Linked DNA regions of Caenorhabditis elegans. The protein of the gene in region 1 interacts with the protein of each later gene in a pairwise test. Each region holds a gene or a part of one and is shown in the gene's direction. Other genes may lie near its edges. The genes, in order: dylt-1, zip-1, C26C6.8 and D1054.5.

Region 1 (4,553 bases):
AAGTGTCACGCAGTGTGACTCACAAAGTTCCAATTGTTAACCTTGAGTATGTCTTCACTTTCTCAGTTTCTTACTAAACGTATTATTTGTTTTAGAAATGCCAGGCCTCCGCTCGTCGTTTGTGTCAAATTGGACTTGACAAATGGTGATTTGGAGCGTATAATTGAACGAAAAGGCTGGAAAGAGCACGTCGACTTGGTTTACTTTGGTTGACAGACTGCTATCCGATACTTGATATAATAAACAATTTATCCGTTTAAATTTTGCATTTTGCGTTGTCTCATTGGTTCTCAGTGACTCCAATGTACTTTGATGTTGCAAATTTTTGTGTCTGGTCATTTTTCTCCCTCGTCGTTATCATTTTTCCTAACAGAACATGGGAAGAGATTACTAGGTGTCTCTGCGTCTCGTGTCTCCGAGTGATCTCTAATTTTCTCGCTCCGTCTGCTCGCGTCGTTGGAAAAACGACTCTGGCGCGAGTTAGTTTTCCTAATAGACGGCTTCTCCGTTTAGCTTCTTTAATTTATTTTATTGTTTTTCGGCAAAGTGGTTCCCTTCAGCTCTTTATTCATTGATTTTAAGTTTTAGATGGTGTTCCAACCAATCCACGAGGAAGAGCAAGTTTTCGTCGACTACGCCATTGAGTTGGTTAAAAAAGCTGGAACGGTGAGTTGAATTCGGATTAAAAAATCAAACTGTTTCCTAAAACAACAACGTCGTTATTATCTTTGTCTTATTTTTGTTAATTTTACAAATATGCACATTTAAATCAAATGCGTAACTCGAAAAACAACATTCTCTATTCCTCAGTTACGAAACAAATTTTATTATTTGAAAAAACATCAATATTCGAAAAAAACATTTTCAGCTCGTCCGTACCGCGTTTGACTCCCCGGAAAGCAAGGTTGACACAAAATCATCGAATACTGATTTGGTGACTGAAACTGACCAAGCTGTTGAAAAGCTTCTCATCGAAGGGCTCTCCGAGAGATTCAAAGGACATAGGTAAGAGCAAGGAATTCCCACGGTCCGCTCGATTTCACTCATTGTCTCCATGACAACCAGTTGGACTTTCTTTTTCAATCGAGTATTTACATAAATTTACTATTTTGATTCAGATTCATTGGCGAGGAATCTGTAGCCGGAGGTGCGAAAATTGAATGGACTGATGCACCAACATGGATTATTGATCCGATTGATGGAACTACTAACTTTGTTCATAGGTAAGATTTTTTTTAAATCGGACTCTTCAAATAATGGCAAATCGCGTTATTTAATTTCTAATTTGGACTCAAATTTTTCTCGAAAAACAAATTCTTATGTTATTATAGAATCCCTATGATCGCAATCTGCGTTGGACTTGCAATCAAAAAACAAATTCGTGCTGGAATCGTATACAATCCAATCACTAATGAACTTTATCTCGCTCAACTCGGAAAGGGAGCTTTCAAAAATGGATTTCCAATCCGAGCATCAAAGAATCAATGTAAGTAATTGCACTTTTCTTGTCATGCACCCTGCTTTTTGAAGTGCTTTCAAAGGGAGTTCTCTGTCAATCTCTCGGTCTGCATAATCGTGTTCAGTTCGGCGATCGCTGGCTCGACATTGCCCAGTCAAACATGCGAAATCAAGTGATGGCTGGTGTGCGAGGGTTTGTTTTAATTTTTTGGTCTAAAATTGATTACTTTTTTACAAAAAATATACCTCCACACTTCCCGCGCTGGTTTTGCACGTTTTACTTTCAATTTTATTTACATTCACATAGAAACGTTGCAAATTCCAGTCATTGCGGAAAGTGTGCTCATACTTCAACTTGGCTCAATTCGATCTCCTGTTATGCAGAAATCATTTGTTGATTCTTACAAGACTGTTATGTTCGACAAACAATGTCACGGGTACTTATAAATATTTTTTATATTCTTGTCGAAATCTAGTGACTTTCTTGAACTGTGCGTTTGCAAATTTTTTGAAAGTTTTACTAAAATTGAGAAATGGATAAGATGGAAAAGTTAGATGTTGGATGGACAAAGTTTAATATGAAAAAAATCACGAGGATGATGTGATATTATTATTTTTAATATTGTTATACATAATAAAAGTTATTTGAAAAAAATCCAAGTTTTTTTTTCAGACACCGTTCGTTTGGCTCCGCCGCGATCAACATGGTGATGGTTGCACAAGGAAGTTGCGATGGATATGTTGAATACGGGATTCACGCTTGGGATGTTGCTGCTCCTTCTATCATTGTCACAGAAGCCGGAGGTGTTGTCACTGATCCAACTGGATCCCCATTTGACGTCATGTCAAGAAAAGTTCTCTGCGCTGGAACAGCTGAACTCGGACGCGATTTATCTGCATGCCTCACTCATGTCGATTTCGAGCCGGAAGCCTAAATATATATTTAACTATTTATTTTCAAAACTCACATATTGTGACATAACATTCCTACCATAACATGCATTATCTGTATTTCCAATTTAATATTAGTTTTTTGATTTTATTTTCTAGTCGTATGTATTCTCGTTTTATGAGAATAAATTATTTAAAGATGTTTATATCTTAATTTCTGATACTTCAATTGCCGTTTGAGCGCACTTGATTTATTTATACTGTCTCTTTTTTAATAATTAAACTCAATATTCAGCTCTCACAAGCTCAACATCATGGCTTTGGCAGAGGAGGACGTTCACATGATCATCAAGCAGGTACCGATATTTTATATGTCTACTGTATTAATTCTTTGAAAAACTATAATTTTTGAGTTGATTATTGTTTATTCACATTCTCGTAATCCAATAATCTTTCAGGTACTCGACGAGGTTGTAGGCGCAAGCACCCAGTATACCCACAAGGACAGTGTTCAGTGGAATCAGAAGGCCGTCGAACAAATAACGAAGAAGCTAGTGGCAGCGGGAAAACCATACAAATATGTGGTTACCTCGTCGTTCCTTCAGATCTCGAGCGGTTCCGGTCTCAATGTTAGCACGATTTCCTACTGGAATAAAGTCACGGATTGTGAGTTAACATTTTGTATTAAAACATTAAATAATAAAGAGGGAAATAAATTTATTACTCACAAAGTTCTGATTTTGAAAGTTGGTATTCAACTTATAGCTCAAAAAATCTCATTTTCAGCCTCGTACATGTACCGTTGGGAAGCCAAAACAATGCTTGCAATCGTCTATGTTTTTGCAATTGCAATTTAACAATCCACAGCTTCATCTTATATGTCTACTCTGGTTTTCCTCGTTTACCGCCAATTCTCCCCTTATTTCTGATTGTTTTTTTCTTCCCCATTCATCACACACTATCATGTTTTATATTCAGACCTATTACCTGTCCAGAAAAACTGAGCTGAAAAAATCCGGACGAGCAGCTCCTTCACATTCAAAATCTTCCATCATTTCCCCCACTCAATTCATTTGTTTTGTCTTTGATTTTCAAATTTTTTGCCTTATTATTTTATTGCTAAATTAATGAAAACTGTTACTCCTCATTTTGACCGTCGCACTCATTGAAGGTAGTTCGAGATTAGATGTTCAGATAACTTGCGGGACGCGTTAGGACACAAAACAAGTGCGTCAGATCAGCCAAAATGCTTCCACGAATAATTCCATCGGTTCTGTCTGTGGTATTACTTTTTTCGTTTTTATTTTTTGTAACGGCAGTCTTACTTCAATTTATGTAAGTATTGATAGTTAAAAATTATCACCGTTCAAAAATGATTGAAACGATAAATTTCCAGTCGAATCGATTCACCAGATCTTGAAAATGAAGAAGTATTTCATTCGGCACCTTATGATATATTCATTTATTCTGCATTTTATTATAATAAATCAAAAAGTCTCGGAGATTCTTCAATGGTTATTCTGATGACTGCTGATTTTGAAGTTTTGGAAAAAGTTAAAAATCTTGAACTTTTGGGCATAAATGACACGAGTCGAGCTATGACATCTGCTGAATTGGAAAGGTTTGTGTATTTAATTTCTTATTTTTGTGTTGATTCGAAGTTTTTGAGCTTTTCGGCACCAATTAAATAAGATTTGAAAATTCAATGAAAAAATTCAAAAAAAAAACCAAGAAAGGGGCGGAGCTTATTCTGAAATTTTGCAGGATCGGTAATCAACTATTTCCTATGATTAAACCGTTCAAAACTAAAGGCAGAATAATCTAATACCTTGGTTTTTTTTGAAATTTTTGCATAAAAGTTCCATGTACCTAATAGATGTTTTTCAAACCTGGAAACAATTCTGGCTATTTCTGAAAAATACATAAAACAATACAAAGTAGATGGTAAATCGAGAAAATGGAAGAGTGGCCGAGAAAATATGCGAATCTCGGTCATCTACCATCTGCAGATGCATCTGTCGATTTAAGAAAAATTATAAGGCCGTCAGATATCCGAGATTTTTATACAACTCACCAACTTCCTTGTTTGATTCTCCTCCAAAATGAGAACTACAAGACAAATCAGACGGATCTCAAAGTCGCTGATTGGATCAAACGTGGGCGGAGCGATTAATTTATTGGTTTTGCAGTTCTCATTTTGGAGA
Region 2 (5,993 bases), on another chromosome or scaffold:
AAATTGCCGGAATCGAAATTTCCGGCAGATCAGTAAATTGTCTGATTTGAAATTTCCGGCAAATCGACTGCAAATTGCCGTAATTAAAAATTTCCGGCAAATAGGCAAATTGCAGGAATGGAAAATTTCGGCAAATCGACAAATTTTCGAATTTGAAATTTCCAGCAAAACGACATTGCCTGTATTGAAATTTCCGGCAAGTCGACATATTGCCGGAATAGAAACTTCCGGCAAATCGACAAATTGCCGGAATTAAAGTTTCCGGCAAATCGACATATTGTCGGATTTGAAATTTCCGGCAAATCGACAAATTGCCGGAATTGAAATTTCCGGCAAATTGTCGGATTTTGAATTTCCGGCAAATCGACGACAAATTGTCGGTATTGAAAATTTCCGGCAAATCGACAAATTGCCGGAATTGAAATTTCCGGCAAATCGACAAATAGCCGGAATTGAAATTTCCGACAAATCGGCAAATTGTCGGATTTGAAATTTCTTTCGGCAAAAACCGGCAAATTGTCGGATTTTGAATTTCCGGCAAGTCGCCATATTGCCGGAATAGAAACTTCCGGCAAATCGACAAATTGCCGGAATTAAAGTTTCCGGCAAATCGACAAATTGTCGGAATTGAAATTCCGGCAAATCGACGACAAATTGCCGGATTTGAAATTTCCGGCAAATCGACAAATTGCTGGAATTTGAATTTCCGGCAAAAACGGACAATTTGCCGAATTTGCCGAAAAAAAATTTGGCGAACCGTCCACCCCTGATTCGGTCATTTAAAGGCGCACACTGGTTTCAAAACAAATATTGTCGCGTCGAGACCCTTTTCGCTAAAATTAGATCTTGTTAGCTTCGAAGATACACTACTTGTCTCAACAAATTTACTTTCTTCAAACTGATCTACAAGGCCAAACTACGATCACTTTTTGTGTCGATCTTTCCTTCCGATCACATCATAGGACTACAGACAGCACTCTCTCCATTTCCCACACTATTTCTTGTCTGAGGAAATGCGGACAGCGTAAACAGAAAATTTCGTGTTTCTTTCTCTCTCGCTCTCTTCGTTATCAGCACTCTCTTCTCTGCTTCACTCTGGCGCCCTCTCCCACCCCATCGCCTAAAATTTTAAAGTGAGGAAGACCCCATTCGCTTCATTTCTGCCTTCGATTTCTGTAGTTTTTACTATTTTTGGAAGTCTAATTTGTTGGAAAAAAGTTGATTTCAATTAATAAATAGTACTTAACGTGAGTATTTCAAAATAGCCATGCAATGGAAGGAAAATCAGGAATTAAGCAAATGAATTGCACAGTTATATATAGTTATTAAAATTTTGCAAAAATAGATGTAAAATCTCCAAATTCCCACTTTTTTGTGCACAATTTGGAGGCTTAAGCTACGTGTTAACTTAGACAAGTTTTAGGCAGGTAGGCATCTAAAATTAGTAGCGAAATTGAAGGTTTCTGCTAAATTTGGCCTGTTTGAACAGTTTTTCATTTTTGATTGGTTCAAAAAATTGCCTGGGATTTTCTTGTTACGAACTATATTACCGATCCAGACAGAGAGAGAGAGCGTGTGTAGTCAATTGAAGAGACACAGACATCTCGGGACCCAAAGGGCGGTGCGCGGGGGAAGAGCCGATTTGTGTCGATTTACGGAGCGTTACTCTTAAAGGAGGACTAACGGTTCGAACAATTTTGAACGTATAGACCCAAAATGGACTCAAATGAACGAATTTCGTAATGAAACTTCTCAAAAAATTTTCAAAAATTTTTTATGGCGGTTCAAAATTTTGAAAAAATTGCACTGATTTTAGCTAAAATATCGAATTTTGCCCATTTTTCCGGGGTCGCAAAAATCAGTTCAGAACTCTGCGTCTAAATTTCCGCGATTCTCGTAGATCAAACCGATATGGGGCACTCTGACACCACGTGCACACTGTATTTATGTATTTATGACGGTTCAAATTTTAGCCAAATTTAGCTGAAATCTTCAATGTTGCCTCTAGGTACATTAGGCATCTAATTTTAAATGCCTACAGGCCTAAAATTTGCCTAACAGTTAACACGAGATAGGAACGCAAAATTGGAGGTTTTAGTTAGGTTTAGCTTTATTTTTTTGAAGTGTTACTCTTCCGTAAATCGACACAAATTGACTCTTTCCCGGGTCCCCAGATGCCTGTGTCTCTTCAACTGACTACACTCTTTCTGGATCGGTAATAGCTTAGCCTTTGTAGCATTCTCTGAAGTCCGATCCGATGACTCGTTCCGTTGTTTTTTTCCTGCAAATTTCCCAGTTGAAAATTCAATGCACACTTTTCAGAAAAGAAACTATCAAAAATGAACAATCAAAATAACAATTTCGTCGATTTCTCGGAAGATGATGATATGATGGATGCGGACTTTTTGGTAACTAGCCTTGAAAATGCGCCGCCTCATCCAATAACCGATTATTCGCAGGGAGTCGTCATACCGGATGACCTGATGAACGCTTCTCTTGAGTTTCAACGAACGGAGCCTTTTTCATTCATACCAGCCGAGGAGGATTTGGCTCCGATGGAGATTCTTCCGAATAATCAAGGGGATGTTGAAATGACGGCGGTGGATAAGAATCCGGATAAGGTATATTAAATAAGAGTTAGGCCCATGAATGCTTACCGGTTTCTAGGTATTGTTCGAACTTCGCGTCGAGACCCAAATTGAGCCAACTCTCAACTATATAAACGCGGAGAATGAGGCAGTTGAATGGGATATAAAGAGTTATTATGGTTAGTTGAATAACGGGTGTATAAATATAACGGATGTATAGTATTAATATATATATATATACAGTGCGTGCAACTTCTATAGCGCCCCCTATTTTTTTCGATTTTCAGTACTTTCCAAAATTTTTTTCGAAAAACGGTAAATGCCATTCGATTTTAAATGTCGAAAAACCCCCTTGTCGTAAATTGTCGTAAAAAACCCCTTGTCAAAAAATATGCGCTATAGAAGTTGCACGGTCGTTTTTAAGACTTTTTGACCTATAGTCCTCGCAGTGTTTGATATTTTTCGATAAAAATTTACGACAAGGGGTTTTTTGACATTTAAAATCAAATGGCATTCACCGTTTTTCGAGAAAAAAAAATTGGAAAGTACTGAAACTCGAAAATAATTGGAAGCGCGATAGAAGTTGTTCGCACTGTATATATATATATATATATATATATATATATATATATATATATATATATATATATATATATATATATATATATATATATATATACCAGCCGTGGCTTCTGGAGCTGACTTCTGGAGCTGAAAACCAATTTTTCTGAAACTACCGTAATCATACAGTACTCCTACCGTGCCACCATTGTACCACTACAGTACCCCAACTGCAGACTACAAAGACTACATAGACTACAAACTATGGACAAACGGAATAAGCGCTTTATATATAGTAAATGATAGTATTATATACTATAGTATTAATATATACATATATCATATATTATAGTATATATATATATATATATATATATATATATATATATAGTAATATATTATAGTATTAATATAGTATTAAAAAGTATGATATAAAAATCACCCGAAAATGGTGATAGGAGGAGTATAAGGGATGATTATCTCGAAAAATCATATATTTCTCTTGTCGGAAATAAATGTTAGCAACAGCAACATAAACATGATTCATACTTCCTTCGGAATTGCTAACACTTAAATTTTTTTCCCTGATCAATGACATTTATTACGATAAGCAGCATATGTGATCAATTAGCTGGTCAGCTATATAATTTATCATTAGGAATAATTGAAATTGAAAAACTTTAGAGCATTAATACTTTAGAGCATCACCGAAAAATCAGTTTTCAGTAATTTTTTTCCTAGTAAATTCGTAAAAATTTATTCCATTTTAAAGGCACATGATGTTTTTTCTGAGTGGGTCTCGTCACGATCTCTGTGCATGTGCAACATTTTTGGATATTAAAAGTTCGAAAGTGCACATATATAAAGCCAGGATTTATATGTATATGCGTGCCAGGCGTGGGCGGCAATAGGCAAATTGCCGGTTTGCCAATTTGCCGAAAATCGTGAATTCCGGTGATTTGCCGATTTGCCGAAAATTTTCAATATCGGCAATTTGCCAATTTGCCGGAAATTTTCAATTCCGGCAATTGCCGATTTCCCGGAAATTTTTAATTTCGGCAATTTTCCGATTTGCCAGAAATTTTAAATTTAGGCAATTTGCCGGTTTACCAATTTGCCGGAAATTTTAAATTCTTGCAAATTGCCGATTTTCCGGAAATTTTTAATCTCGGCAAATTGCCGATTAGCCCGAAATTCACAATTCCGGTGATTTTCCGATTTGCCGAAAATTTTCAATTTCGGCAATTTTCCAAATTTCCGAAATTTTTCAATTCCGTCAATTTTCCGATTTCCCAATTTGCAGGAAATTTTCAACTCCGGCAATTTTGCCGATTTGCCTGAAATTTCCAATTCCGGCAATTTTCCGATTTGTCGGACATTTTCAATTCCGGCAATTTTCCATTTTGCCGGAAATTCTCAATTCCGGTGATTTGCCCATTTGCCGGATATTTTAAATTACTGCGATTTTGCCGATTTGCCTGAAATTTCCAATTCCGGCAATTTTCCGATTTGTCGGACATTTTCAATTCCGGCAATTTTCCATTTTGCCGGAAATTCTCAATTCCGGTGATTTGCCCATTTGCCGGATATTTTAAATTACTGCGATTTTGCCGATTTGCCGGAAATTTTCAATTCCATCAATTTGCCGATTTGCCGGAAATTTTCAATTCCGGCAATTTTTCGATTTCCCAATTTGCCGGAAATTTTCAATTCCGGTGATTTTGCCGATTTGCCGGAAATTTTCAATTACTGCGATTTTGCCGATTTGCCGGAAATTTTCAATTCCATCAATTTGCCGATTTGCCGGAAATTTTCAATTCCGGCAATTTTTCGATTTCCCAATTTGCCCGAAATTTTCAATTCCTGTGATTTTCCGATTTGCCGGAAATTTTCAATTCCGGCAATTTTTCGATTTCCCAATTTGCCCGAAATTTTCAATTCCTGTGATTTTCCGATTTGCCGGAAATTTTCAATTCCGGTAGTTTGTCGATTTTTCGGAAATTTTCAATTCCATCAATTTACCGATTTGCCGGAAATTTTCAATTCCATCGATTTTCCGATTTTTCGGAAATTTTCAATTCCATCAATTTACCGATTTGCCGGAAATTTTCAATTCCATCGATTTTCCGATTTGCCGGAAATTTTCAATTCCGGTAATTTGTCGATTTTTCGGAAATTTTCAATTCCATCGATTTCCCAATTTGCCCGAAATTTTCAATTCCTGCAATTTGCCGGTTTCTCAATTTGCCCGAAATTTTCAATTCCGGCGAAATTGCCGATTTGCCGGAAAAAATCGTTCTCCCCCACCCTGTGCACCTTAGAATTATAAATATTACAATTTTCTACATATGACATCATACATCATATGAGCGAATCTTTAAAATTTGCCCGCCCGTGCTGAGATCGTGGCGAGACCCACTTAGAAAGCACCGTGCGCCTTTAAAGTAGAGTGGCGAATTAAAAAATGTTTTATTTACGAATTTATGATAGTTGAATTGGCAATTATTTTAAAGGAATTTAAATAATAGGAAATAATTGCTGATCGATTTTTGGAATTTACAGTTTTTACCGTTGAAAATTGAAAAAAATATATTTTCTTCCTCATATTTTTTTGCAATTTTAATTGTAATAAATCAGGTTTCATTCCTAATTAAACCAACTAATTTCACATTATTCCTCATAATAAATCAATCATTTCTGATTTTTTGACCCGTCGCTAATTGATGCCGAAATAGGCGAAAATAGGCGTGGTATTGGGATACTACAGGCGGACATATATATATATATATAAATTGATAAGAGAAATTGGCGGTTTTATAGACTAATAAAGTGGTGTTCTTTTTT
Region 3 (5,530 bases), 200 kb from region 1:
ATTGAAGAAATTATAACTTTTTATCCCACTAGACTATTTTATCTTTTCGGTTTTTATAGTGCATGAATAATAAGCTACTATGTTTGATTTAAAAAGTGCAGATTAGGTTGGGAAAATATTTGAACTGCAGGACTACCAAAGACCTCTGGGTTTCTATAGTTAACTTCAGTACAAAAATCGTATTTTAAAGTGTAGCTTTATGCTCAAAATATATTAAAGGTGGAGTGTCGCCAGTGTGGAATGTTCGGAATCACTCCTATTTGAAGCAAAGCATGGCAAAAAATTTTAGAATTCTTTTTTATTTACAGTCGATTATAATTGCGGAAGTAGCCCGAAAAAAAAACAAAATTTCCTACGTTTTTGGGTTTAATAATATTTAGTTAATTGTGTTTAAAAATTTCAATGTTGTGTAGTTTAACATTTCCTCACTCAACAGTGTTCAATATTTAAAAAAAATTTTGCAAGGAAAATTGGAAATATGCCAAAACTTCATCTGAAACAAAAGTTAAATGTTTAGTTTCTCTGTAAAAACGTAAAAATGACAAATATTGAAATAGTGAATTGAGACTTGAGAAGACTTTTAGATTTCAAAAAGATTTCAAGACTATTACACAAAAAAAAATCAGACAGAAACAAAAAACAAAAAAAAATTATTAAAAGATTGACACTGACATGTTTAAAAAGTCACAAAACATTTTCGAGTACGTAGTTACTCGAAAAAGAAAACTAAGATCTATATGACGTCATTTTGATCTGACACAGGTGACACATCTCATCCATCCCGTAGCTCTTCTCCCACAGAAACATTTTGTGGTGTGAAGTTACTAGATGCACACTTTACTACTTGAATGGAGGAGGTTAAATGATGAAAGAACAGAAGGATGCTCATTATGATTGTGATGTTTCAAATATTATAATTATTGTTTCACTTTTGCAAGTTCTATAAATTGATTGAAAAATTGACAAAACTCTGGATTCAGAAATTGCATTTTTCAAAATGTGTAAAATTTCAAAAATCGTGTTATAAATTTTAAAAAAGTCCAATGTTTCTGATAAAAAAATGTTTTAATTAGATGAAACACTGAAATTGTTCAGTTTTTGTCAGTGAACAAGAGAAATCACAGAAAAATTGTTCCGAAAGGGACTACTTTACTCCCTATTTGTCTTGAAATCTCTCAAAAATCAGTATCTTAGAAATTATAGTTAACCCACAAAAATACACTTTAAACCGTTCAAAATCTATTCATTATTTTTTCAAATAAGTTCAATATGTTATAGAACATCTTTGATATGAAGCATATAACAAACGTCATCATAAAACATCATATCACGTTCATAAAATCCTTTTCTTTGAGGAATTGTCTTGTTACAGATTGCACAACGGAAACAATCAATATGAAAGAGACGATTAAATGCAACAAGTCCTCGTTCAATTACTGGCAATGAGCATCCTGTAAAATTTGTTTTTTAAGTAATCGTAAGGGGCTCTAATCTTTCCTATATGTAGCTGAGTAATCAAAGTTCGTATAACCCGTGCAAAACCGAATTCACAAGCCATATCATTCAATTTTTAATTTCTACTAATCAGTACTTCGAAGAACTAAAAATACCTGTGCAAGATGGATGATTTGTTTGAATATGACATGCATAACATGATGGTTTCATTGGATCAATTGATGAACGGAAATAACGATTGTCCGAGATTTGAAGCTAAAATTGGATATTTTGAAATTTTGGAAGTGCTTTTTTCCGAACGCTTCCAAAACTAACTTTACAAAAAATGCATTGAATATGATCCCGATGCCACATTCGATTCAGAAAGAAGACAACTTTGTTCTAAAAATTACTTTTTTAAAGGAAATACACCAATTGTGGATTTACCTTTTCGACATCCTCCTCGGCGATTTTGGCTTTACATCCTGCACAATTGATAAACTCAATAGTCATTTTTCTAGTTTATTTGGAAATAAATTATTTTTTATTAAAATTGTATTCTTCGCCTCCGAATTTGTATTTAGTAAGCGGTTGCCACGTAACTGGTATTAAAATTTATTGGTTTTTAATTGAAAACTTCCAAACAAGATACAAAAGTTTATGCATCTCTGCATGGTAATCTCCAAAATACATAAAATATCACAGATTCCTTATTTCTAGGGCAAAATAAGCCATTATACTGAAGCCAAATAATACTGTCCGCCTTTCATGCCTTTCCCTCCCGAGACTCCATCTTTTTTTCCAATCAGATCCAATTTTCGGTGAACAAACAATAATTTGACATGCCTCTGTTGATTAACCGTGTTTTGTGAGCAATTCATTGGCTTTTCGTCGCACAAAAACAATGGGCATTAGGAGCATTTTTTGGAAAGTTGTATCTGGAAGAGGTGAGCACAGTTTGTCCCATTTTTTTTCTAATTTTAGCTGATTAAAAATAAAACCTCCAAAAATGAATTTCAGTGCCCGATAATGGTGGATGGGTTGACAGTATGCAAGTGGATCATTTTGATCCTTATACTCCAGGACAACTAACAAAAAACTTCACAGCAACTGTATAGTTTTCAGTTTTTCCAAATTACCCCAATTTCTAACCTCTCACTTTTAAGGTTGCTGACGAAATTAGTGTAACCCGTGGCACTACAGTTAAAGCAATTTATCGAGATGATCAATGGATTTATGTTGAGGTATCTGATGGAAGAAAAGGATTTGTTCCACAGACATATTGTAAATTGCTTTTGAATTCAAAACACGGTGAAAAGGTGAGCGTTTTAGATGTTCTAGAAAAGTTATTTTTAGTGCAAATCTTAAAGAATGCAACAACACGTGTAATTGTGGCATTTAATGATATTCATTTAAAACTACTGTATCCGGTCTCGACACGACCGAAATATGCGCAAAAGAATGTGCGCCTTGCGAATTACTGTAACCACACTCCTAATTATTTCCAATATTTCATAGATATTTCATAGTTTTGTCATTGAAAAATCGAAGAAAAGTGGTGAAAATCATTGTCACCTTTAGTGAGAACAACTTAGAAGCCACGTGATGTCAGAGAGTCCCATTTCGGTTTGATCTCCAAGAATTTCGGGAATGGAACCGTTGAGAAATCAAATCAAATACTTTTCAGAAAAAGGTGATCGGATCCAGCGCGACACTTGATCGCCGTTGGGAAAAATCAAATTTGCAGAGATTTATCGACAGTCTTCCTGTTCAAAAAGAAGAAGGAGAGGTTTTTAAAATGGTTTGTTTTGAATAAAGCTATTGAATATTCTTTTGATACTATCTGCAGGATGAGATATGCGAAGTTCAAATACTACAGTCATTTGATGGATCAGCTCCAGATGATATATCTGTGAAAGATGGAGAATCTGTCACAGTTTTGAATATATCAGATCCTGAGTGGACCTATATTCGAAATTCGGACAATCAATCTGGTTTTGTACCTTCTTCCCATGTTAAGATTCCACATGAAATATTGCAACAAGCTAGCCGTGTCATTAAAGAAAAATGGTATCGTAAGTTCGCAGTTTTCTGAAACGCTTAAAGGTGTACGGACTTATTCAGATGGGTCATGGGTGTTATTCTGTTTTTTTTTTCAGAATTAAAAGACTCAGAAGACGCGAAAATTTGTTATTTTTGCGCCAAAAATACAGTACCCGGTCTCGACACGATAACAATTTTGTTAAGTGTGAAAACGTGTGCGCCTTTAAAGACTACTGTAATGTAAATACAACTTTTCGTGCTCATAGTTTTTCTCACGATTAGTAAAATAAAATATATGTGTTTTGTGGTTTTTTAAAATAAATAAATACATTTTTTAACGGAGAATTATGAAAAATCTATGCAAATTCCTCAACAACGAAAGTTTGAAGCTACAGTACCCTTTAAAGGCGCACATCCGTTTACATTTGATAAAAAATATTGTCGTGTCGAGATTGAGTACCATATTTTTGGCGCAAAAATTGCAAAGTTTCGCGTATGGGTAATAAAAAATCAAAAGAATCGACTTTAAAATTGTTCACGAAATTCCCGAAAAAAGCAAAAGGGCCGTTGCAAGATAAAAAACTACTGCCATAAATGTTTTTCTCGTGCTTGCGTTTCAAAAGATTGCGAAATAAACTGATTATATTTTGGCTTGGCAAATTTATTTAATTTTTAGGGAAAATGAAAATCTTCTCGTAGTCGAACCTTTTTCTGGAAGATCACCTCTTGATCTAACAGTCCGACCAGGTGAATGGATAAAATGCACTGGAAGACCAGTAGATGATTGGTTGTGGGCCGTCCGAATCGCTGACGAGAAGCAGGGATTTATCCCGAATAAAGTTGTAATTTTGGCGACAGATCTTTGATGTTTGATTTATCGTTTGAATTTGTTTCATACCCGACCCATTAATAAAAATATTTTAAAAAAAGGTGAATTGGAAATGATAATAAATTTAGTGACTGAAGTGGGTAGTAAGAAATACAATCAAGAAACGAATAAATTATTGAAAATAAATAGGATTTAAGGTATTCGTGGGAATCATGAGAGGATAAAAACAGAAGGAGCACACATAACTGGTTATCAGAAAATACATTAAAAGAAAAAGAGATTCTTGTTTTCTGGATTGAACGGGGAGGCGAGATAGGGTAGGATAATTATGATAAAGTTATAAAAATTGCATAAAATTTTAACAAGAGATCCACTGATTTCATTGAGTTGGTCGGTCCATTACAAGACTACACGTACTCTTCAACAATTCATCGCGAAGTTTCCACAAAGCTTTTGTAACATCCTCTTCGCGAGCTACAGGTCGTCCGTTTTCAATTCTCTGAAATTATGAAATATATTTTACAAGAAGAAATAGTCGAACTAACCCTTATCCAATGAGATGGAGCGCGGGCATTTCCAGCTGGTTGGGTATTCCTGGCAGTTGCTCCTAGAGTTCGTTCCCATCGGCTTACCGACTTCTGTCGATTCTGGGCAAGTGATTCGATATACCTGTAAATGAAAAATCAATACTTGAAAAACAATTAAATTTCAAAAAACTCACTTGAGATATGCTTCCGAATGTAGAACTCTTCTCGAATGAATTTGATTCGGTGGTGCAACAAATGCAGGTACAACTGCTCGAACTACAGTTCGTCCAACATCTGTAACCACGATAGGTTGCATTTGTGGTTGTTGCTGTTGTGGAGGTGGACCAGGTTGTTGATGTTGTTGTTGAATCATTTGTTGAGGTGGTGCCTGATGATATTGTTGAGATGAAGAAGATCCTTGTTGGAACATTCCGTTTTGTGGTGGTCCCATTTGCATCTGTGGATGAGGTTGGCCACCTTGCTGAAAAAATTACATTTATTAAAAATGTTTTCATTGCGTTACAAACCTGATAATGCTGCTGATGTGGATGATGATCGTGATGTTGCTGCATATGCTGTGGATGCTGATGATGCATTTGTTGGCTAACAGGATGCCTGTTTATAACTTGTGGAGCGCCTTGTTGCATATTTCCGTTCATTCCATTTCCATGATGCTGCTGTTGTTGATGTTGTTGTT
Region 4 (7,219 bases), on another chromosome or scaffold:
ACACAGCAAAACTAAATACCACAAACTTTAGTTGCAAACATAGTATAAATCTCGACCATTTTCAGCTTCTTTTATATCTCTGCCTGGTTCAATGATGAGTTCAATTTGGATTGGCTCTAAAAGGACGGCTGCGTGTACTGGGCAACAATTGACGGCTACATGTACCCCTCTAAATTCTTTCGAGTGGACTGACGGTTCAACAACTGGCACCGATGGATATGTTTGGAGGCTCACCGGAGAACCGAACAACGCATCATTGATGTACGTAGTAGTTTGGATCGACTGGGTTTCAGCGTGCCTGGCTCAGATACTGGGCTCAAATGTAAAAATGTAACATGCAAAACAGAAGGCAAAAGACGAAATATATGATTTCTATCAAAAATTATGCATGTTGACACTGAACTTGTGTAGTCTCTTCAAATCTAAATGAAACGGTGGATTTCGTCTACAGTTAATGTGTTAACAAGCAAAATTATCTTTTCATGTGGAAAAATCAAGAGAATAGTTCTGACGGAAAGAGCTTAAAGGTGGTACGATGGAAAGCGCAGCTTGACACCTTTGTCCGTTTTCTTCCTTCAGAGAAAAAACGGACCCTAACAAGGGACGAGCTGCCTCGAAACAATCAGCTCGTCTGAGTTGTTTAATTCAGGGATGAATTGAAGAAAATCGAATTTCCGAAAAACTGAATTCACAAAACGCCTTCACTAGATTTTTTTAATTTCAGGGAAGACTGCCCCGTTGTTGTCTCAGTGACGGGTAAACTGGCTGATCAAATGTAAGCATCATAATCCTATAAATCATTCATTAACCATACTTTTTCAGATGCACCAGAACTGATTTCACTGGATACGCATGTGGAAAAGCTCCATAATAAATTCTCACAATAATAACTTGTTTGCTTTATTTTACAGGTTTCGTAAATAGACAATAGTAGTTTTTGTTTTAAGAACTTAATGAATTATTACTATTTTCAAGGATTGGCTCAGTTGTATAAAATAACCATGCATACAATGTTTCCCTAAATTGGAAAGTTCAGAACTTTCTGAACAGTTTTACAACATGCAGAAATAAGTAAACAAATTGTTGAAACATGTAAGGTTTCAAGAGTCATTATACATTCGTTTGATTATATTTTTGATACCTTATGGAATTCTATATAAAGTTGTTTTTCTAAAAATAAACGATAAGCCTAGCGAATAAAAGTATTGTGACAAATTAGTTATTTAGACTAGGCACGTGATGAGCATTTGAAACATAAGACATATTGTTTTCAAATTAAAAAAAATGAACCATATAACCATATAATTTTCATGAGTCACATAGTGACTCATGAAAATAAATGTTTCGAAATTTTTGAATTTTAGAGATAACTATTTTGTATTCTTGATTTTACACTTTCATGCATGTTGTTTTAAAGGTAAAAAATCTAACTGAAAATTTTGCAACTTCTTAGCATTTTGAAACGTTTATCTTTGAATATCCAAGTTTTGAAATTGATTTAAGAGTCTTTAAGTAGATAGCAGAATCAGCGAAAACAATTTTGTTCGTGACTTTGTCTTTTCACACTTTTGTTTTCGCAATAATTGGAACTAAATATTAATGTCTGATAACGCACTCAGTTTTGATAATTTCACTCTTCACGGAGTCTCCCAAATAATTCGCGCTCATTTTTTGAAATGAATAATGATCAATTCAAACATTTAAATATCAACGAACACTTTTTCTGAAAACATGGGTAATGTTTGTATTATACATTTGACCTTTCCATTTCACAGGATTAAAATTAATTATGTTTATCTATCACCTAACACTTTCTGAACGTTTTAGAATTAAAGTAAACGCATTTCAGAAAGAGCTATGATGTAACTGGACATACTTTCACCGTAGTCGTCAATTTTAGAAGAGGTATCGAAAGAATACAGTTTAATCAATATAAAAATTTTTTAAAGGTCTTTAAGTATCGTCACTCAGAAAGTTTCTTCTCGAATGTCCAAATATCAGAATGAAACTTATAAAAACTTGTACAATTTTTTTTTGAAGTTAAGTCAAAAAGGTGTTGAAAACTAAGTCTTCACCTATGATAATTTCGGAAGTCGGCCAAATATTATAATTTTTTTTTCATGGCAATTTACCAAAAACTAACTGAACATTTTAAATAACCTAACATTTTTTGGATGTTTTTTATTATACACGCCCTGTTTAACTATAATAAGTATATTTACTCAGTTAGACTGAATCCCCACAGTCACTACTCCACCATTAATAATTCATTTTCAAAGCTATATTTTCTTTAATACTTAAACCAAGACAAAGGGTTTTCCGAAAGTTGGCAAATTATCGTATTGTCTACTTTTGTTTATTGTTTTACACAGCAAAGTTGTTGTTATCACTTTGTTAATTTAACTATTCACGTACAGCATTCCGTCGGTGCACATTCCTTCTGTTTTCACTGATAACTCAATTCTCTAACCTTCTCTTTTTCTTGGCGTCCTCTCAACTCAAAAAGTGTTATCATTTAATAGTTCTCTGAAAATTCAGATGTGTCAGCACATTCATGAATCGATTGATTTGACCAAATACTATTTGAGCATCATTCTTCCTTATTCGATAATATTACTATCAGTTTGATATCTTCACAATTGATCACCAGTTCCGCTTTTTTGTTTTCGTTTCCCTTTTAAAAAGTTATTTTAGTAGTAAACCGTTCAATCTATTGATACTGACAAACGTTTTTTATTAGTCACTCTTTTCGATTTCTGCAACAATTATGATCAGCATTATGTTCAGAAGTATGCTGAAATTTGTGAAAAAGAAAGCTTCTGGGACTAATTCACTGCAAAATGTTGAGATATCGAGACCTACGAATTTGATTGTTTCAAAACATAAATTGGTTCGAACCGACACAGACTTTATTCTTGTTATGGAAGATGATAAGTGAGTTTACATTTTTTGTAAGAAAATCAGATTTAAGTTTATTTGAAAATTGTAACTAGTAGTTCGCTTTTTTGCAAACTTTTGATCTCTTCTGTAGCTACTGTAATCAAACTATTAATATAATGTGTTTTGTTATTGATTTGGTGAATGCCGTAGACATAAAATACGATTGCCTCAACGTCATTTTAAATTGATATAAAATTTTATTTGGGTATACATGGAGCGTTTGATAAGTTCTACAAAAGTGAAATACCAAAGAAGTTATTACAATAGGCTTTCAATAACAGAAGGGATTTGGTTTTGAACTGTTACAGATAATCATAATATGAAAAAGAAAAAAGTCAACAATTGGGTGGGACCCTTTGAGAAATTTGTATCGAATAGGTGAAAACTCTTTTTGAATAATTTTCCTTGAGATTCCAAATAGAAAATTTAAAAACAATTTAATAAATACAGCTTATGAAATTCAAAAAAAGTCCTCCAAAATTATAGTGTTCCTGAAGTTTTCATTTGAATTACCTTGAACTTGACCAACGTTGTGGTTTTTGTATTCTCTGTTTTTTAGTCAGCTGGAGCAACTTAAAGAAATTCCCAAATCAAACCTGAAATTTCAAAAATATAAGTTTCATTTCATAATTTTGTGTTACAGAATTATTGGAATCCTTGATAAAAGGGATCTTGAATTGGCAGTTGTTCCGACTGATATCGCTCCATCTCTATCTTCCATTTCTCCTCCATCATCATCAGTTTTGCCCACTGATTCTCAGACGTACCTGGCACCAGATAGCATTCGATCAATTGGAGGTAATTATGTAAAACTAATAGTATTAAAAGTATTAGCTCATTAGTTTCAGCGAAAATAAAAAAATTAAACTGTAAACAACATAGTGACTGGTACGATACCAACTTATTTCCAGAACGTACCCCCCTTCCATTGTCATCACCAACTGGAGTCTCACCGAGTCAATATAAAACATTGCCAGCCGGCTTTGGAGCTAAACACCAATCGAACATTCCACGTTTTCAGTGGCAATCCTCACAGAATAATATGACCAGTTATGGGGAACAAGGCTCAAGCTATCGGGTATGTACATGTTTAACTTTGAAATCTCCAATGTATATTGTATTACGTATGCAATGGGATTTTTCGCCCTATCTCAAGCGAATTGGTCTCACCACGGGGACAGCTAGTTACTGAAGCTAGTGTCGATTTATGTGGTTATTTTTATTTTAGAAATCTTACGTTTTTGATTGATTAAATGGTAAGGTTTAAGTAGTATTTCTATCAGGTTGTCCCATAAGTTTTTGTACTATTTTTTTTTTGAAAAAAATTTATTTCTCTCAAGCGACAAGTAGTACTATTCACACAAGTATTCACCATTAGTGTCCACCACTTGTTGCCATTTACTAGGTAACATCATGATGCCACGGGAGAAGAAATCCGGCGAACGCGATGAGAAGAAAGTGGAGAGTTCAGTTTTGAGATGCTCTTCGTCGTCGAATTGCTTGTCGCGCATGTAGTCACTGAGAGACAAGAACAAATGGTAGTCGGTTGGTGCAAGATCTGGAGAATATGGTGGATGCGGTAAAACAGTCCAACCAAGATCTTGCAGCTTTTGGAAAGTCTTCTTGGCGACATGAGGCCTAGCATTATCGTGAAGAAAATATAGTTTTTCATATTTTCCGTTGGTCTTTTCTGCAACTCGGTCCAATTGGGCACAATAGTAATCAGCAGTGATAGTTTTATTAGTTGGCAACAATTCCCAGTGCACGGGTCCTTGAACACCCCACCAGACACAGATCATAATCTTTTTTGGGCTTTGGCGTCGGTATTCCTTTCTCACCGATCGGAAGCCATTGACGTTTTCTGGAATGGTTAACATAGAGCACCCACTTCTCATCTCCAGTAACCAGATTGTTCAGCCAATCGAACTTTCGACGAAAAGTTAGAAGTTGAGTACAAACGTTGACCCGAGTGAGCTTCTGTGATGCCGAAAGTTCATGAGGCACCCAAGTTCCAAGTTTTGAAGTAAAACCAAGGCGACCCAAGTGACGTGCAATTGTGCTATGACAACACTCAAGCTTCTCTTCCATTTCACGAAGACTAAGACGAGGCTCTTCCTCCACCAGCTTCACTAGGTCTTCTTCATTTAACTCTACCGGTCGCCCAGAACGTTCTATTTCTTCGAGACTGAAGTCGCCGTTCTTGAACTTTTGAAACCAACTCTTTGCTGTATTATAAGAGAGTGCTCCCTCACCCATCGCACCGCATATGTTTCGTTCCGCTTCCATTGCTGAATGACCAAGACGAAATTCATAAAGAAGAAGCAATCTAACGTCTCGACGTTCAAGTTTGATGATTGTCATCGTGGCAAAGTAGAAATGGATGAAATGAATCTTTTCTGAAAGGGGACGACCCGACCTTGACACGACCTACGATGAAAAAATTTTAAAACTTTCTAGAAGTTTTGGAAAAATATTTGAAAAAAAGTACAAAAACTTATGGGACAACCTGATAATAGTAAGTATAGCTATTACTACATATGAGATTATTTGTATGCTACCTTTCATGTTTTTTGTTGAAAAGGATGATGCAATACCATAAATCGACGCAAGCCACAGTAACCTTTTTACAGTGTGACGTGACACTTCTCAAATGTATTATCAAATTTGTTAGTACGAAATTAGAAGAATTGTAAATTTGAACAGTTTTGTATTTTACAGAATATTTACGTTCCATACCGAATATTGTAATGTTTTTAAAGTACACTTAAGTCCACAACAAAATAATAAATAACATTCCTTCCTGTTTACAGTCTACAAGTGTGGAACAACTTTTTTCGCCTCCGATTCTCTCCGCAAATGGTCGTAATCGTTCTGAATCTGCTCTCCGACCACAGGGAAGTCATAAATATGACACGATATCGTTCTCACCGTCATCGAATCAATTTCCGGGTTCATCTAGTGCACAATGCAATGTCGAGATTCGTTTGGGCGATGATCGTACACCACCTCCACCGCCAAATCGTGCTCCACCAGCACCATTGAGCTTCACGCGATGCCACAACACGATTGTCCATCCAGAATGCTCTTTTCAGCTAGATTACACTGAAGTGCAAACTGTTTCTGTTGAAGATCCGGATTTGAAAGATATGTCTCTTGAAGAGATGAGGAGGCATGCAGAAGACATTGAATCCTATATTCAGGTGATCAGAGCTATTATCTTCAATTGAGTAATATAACGTTTCAGGATCAAGTAAAACAACAGTGGAGCCAGCAGAAAAACGAAACGGAGAAATGGATCGAACAAATAGCTGGAAAGGTCGCCAAGACCGAGACAATGAATACCATCAGATTGGAAATGACAAATAAGAAACGTCCATCACTATCACAAGCTTTTCTTCCATTTGAATCAGATACGAGCTCACAATCCACAGATCCAACAGATCCGGAACCACATAATGGTTATGAAAAATTATACACCTCCAGAGACAAAGCAGTTATCAAGCGTCAGGGGACCAACGAATCTGAAGGGGATATCGAGGATATGAGATTTTAATTAAACTTTAAAACAAAACATTTGACATGAAGTTTCATTTTTGGCGGTGTTCATATAACAAAATAAGAATTTAATCATCACTTTTCATATTCCTTATATTCCATACATGCTGGTGGCTGACATTCCGTTTTCTTTTGACCAATTTCAGACCAATTTGTAGACAAGACGGTTCCATTTGATTCACTGAAAATAATCACTATAATCTCTTGGTTTTCAGGCAATAACGATTTACGAATAGCTCTTCATCATGGCACGTCGGACATCATCCGAAGCGTCGTTGTACATCTTACGGAACATTTTGTTTACAGCGGCATCACCTTCCAGCGATTCATCTTCCTCTTCTTTTACAGCTTGTTTCTCGATAGCATCCCAATTCTTTTTCACAGTAGTAGTTGGTGCACTTTCTGGATTTGGTGATACACTCTGTACAGAAGCGGCAACACCTTGTCCGTCTTTCAGCAGAGAAGCCCATCGTTCATTGCGAGCGAATTTCGGAAGTCGAACTTCTACCTGGAATAAGTTTTAAATAAAAGTTGTTTTATTCAAAAATTTTGCTCTGGACGTTTTTAAATCCAATCAAGTTATTATGGAACGCAATTTTTTATTTTTTTTTGTGGTTTCGGACAGTCAGTTCACAATTATCGCTTTTGAGGGAATGATCATCACGATTACATAAAAACCGCTAACACTCGGCTTATTGTCACTCAGCGAGTGACTCATCATCCT

The links.
Region 2: the proteins of dylt-1 (region 1) and zip-1 interact in a two-hybrid assay, tested with the Caenorhabditis elegans proteins (one large-scale study listed by BioGRID).
Region 3: the proteins of dylt-1 (region 1) and C26C6.8 interact in a two-hybrid assay, tested with the Caenorhabditis elegans proteins (one large-scale study listed by BioGRID).
Region 4: the proteins of dylt-1 (region 1) and D1054.5 interact in a two-hybrid assay, tested with the Caenorhabditis elegans proteins (one large-scale study listed by BioGRID).

Annotation. Positions count from the first base shown.
Region 1 is NC_003279.8:7,299,005-7,303,557, reverse strand, and holds dylt-1 (DYnein Light chain (Tctex type)), read left to right. Parts: upstream 1-2,644; 5' UTR 2,645-2,663; coding exon 2,664-2,705; intron 2,706-2,807; coding exon 2,808-3,015; intron 3,016-3,135; coding exon 3,136-3,206; 3' UTR 3,207-3,493; downstream 3,494-4,553. Other genes in the region: F13G3.6 (Glycosyltransferase 2-like domain-containing protein), read left to right, coding at 1-46, 96-213; Inositol monophosphatase ttx-7, read left to right, coding at 589-666, 869-1,005, 1,119-1,223, 1,332-1,486, 1,531-1,651, 2,132-2,393; BAH-4 (Glycosyltransferase family 92 protein F13G3.3), read left to right, coding at 3,596-3,684, 3,746-3,970.
Region 2 is NC_003281.10:12,334,585-12,340,577, forward strand, and holds the start of zip-1 (BZIP domain-containing protein), read left to right. Parts: upstream 1-2,322; 5' UTR 2,323-2,339; coding exon 2,340-2,621; intron 2,622-2,667; coding exon 2,668-2,767; intron 2,768-3,081; exon of another isoform or gene 3,082-3,208; intron 3,209-5,993.
Region 3 is NC_003279.8:7,502,389-7,507,918, reverse strand, and holds C26C6.8 (SH3 domain-containing protein), read left to right. Parts: upstream 1-2,276; 5' UTR 2,277-2,338; coding exon 2,339-2,381; intron 2,382-2,454; coding exon 2,455-2,546; intron 2,547-2,600; coding exon 2,601-2,753; intron 2,754-3,121; coding exon 3,122-3,235; intron 3,236-3,283; coding exon 3,284-3,504; intron 3,505-4,153; coding exon 4,154-4,343; 3' UTR 4,344-4,396; downstream 4,397-5,530. Other genes in the region: C26C6.6 (LIM zinc-binding domain-containing protein), read right to left, coding at 1,273-1,451, 1,611-1,710, 1,771-1,836, 1,882-1,947; pbrm-1 (Bromo domain-containing protein), read right to left, coding at 4,686-4,805, 4,852-4,975, 5,028-5,314, 5,361-5,530.
Region 4 is NC_003283.11:10,772,127-10,779,345, reverse strand, and holds D1054.5 (CBS domain-containing protein), read left to right. Parts: upstream 1-2,767; coding exon 2,768-2,934; intron 2,935-3,583; coding exon 3,584-3,738; intron 3,739-3,851; coding exon 3,852-4,018; intron 4,019-5,750; coding exon 5,751-6,140; intron 6,141-6,184; coding exon 6,185-6,493; 3' UTR 6,494-6,570; downstream 6,571-7,219. Other genes in the region: D1054.3 (SGS domain-containing protein), read right to left, coding at 6,571-6,676, 6,726-7,003.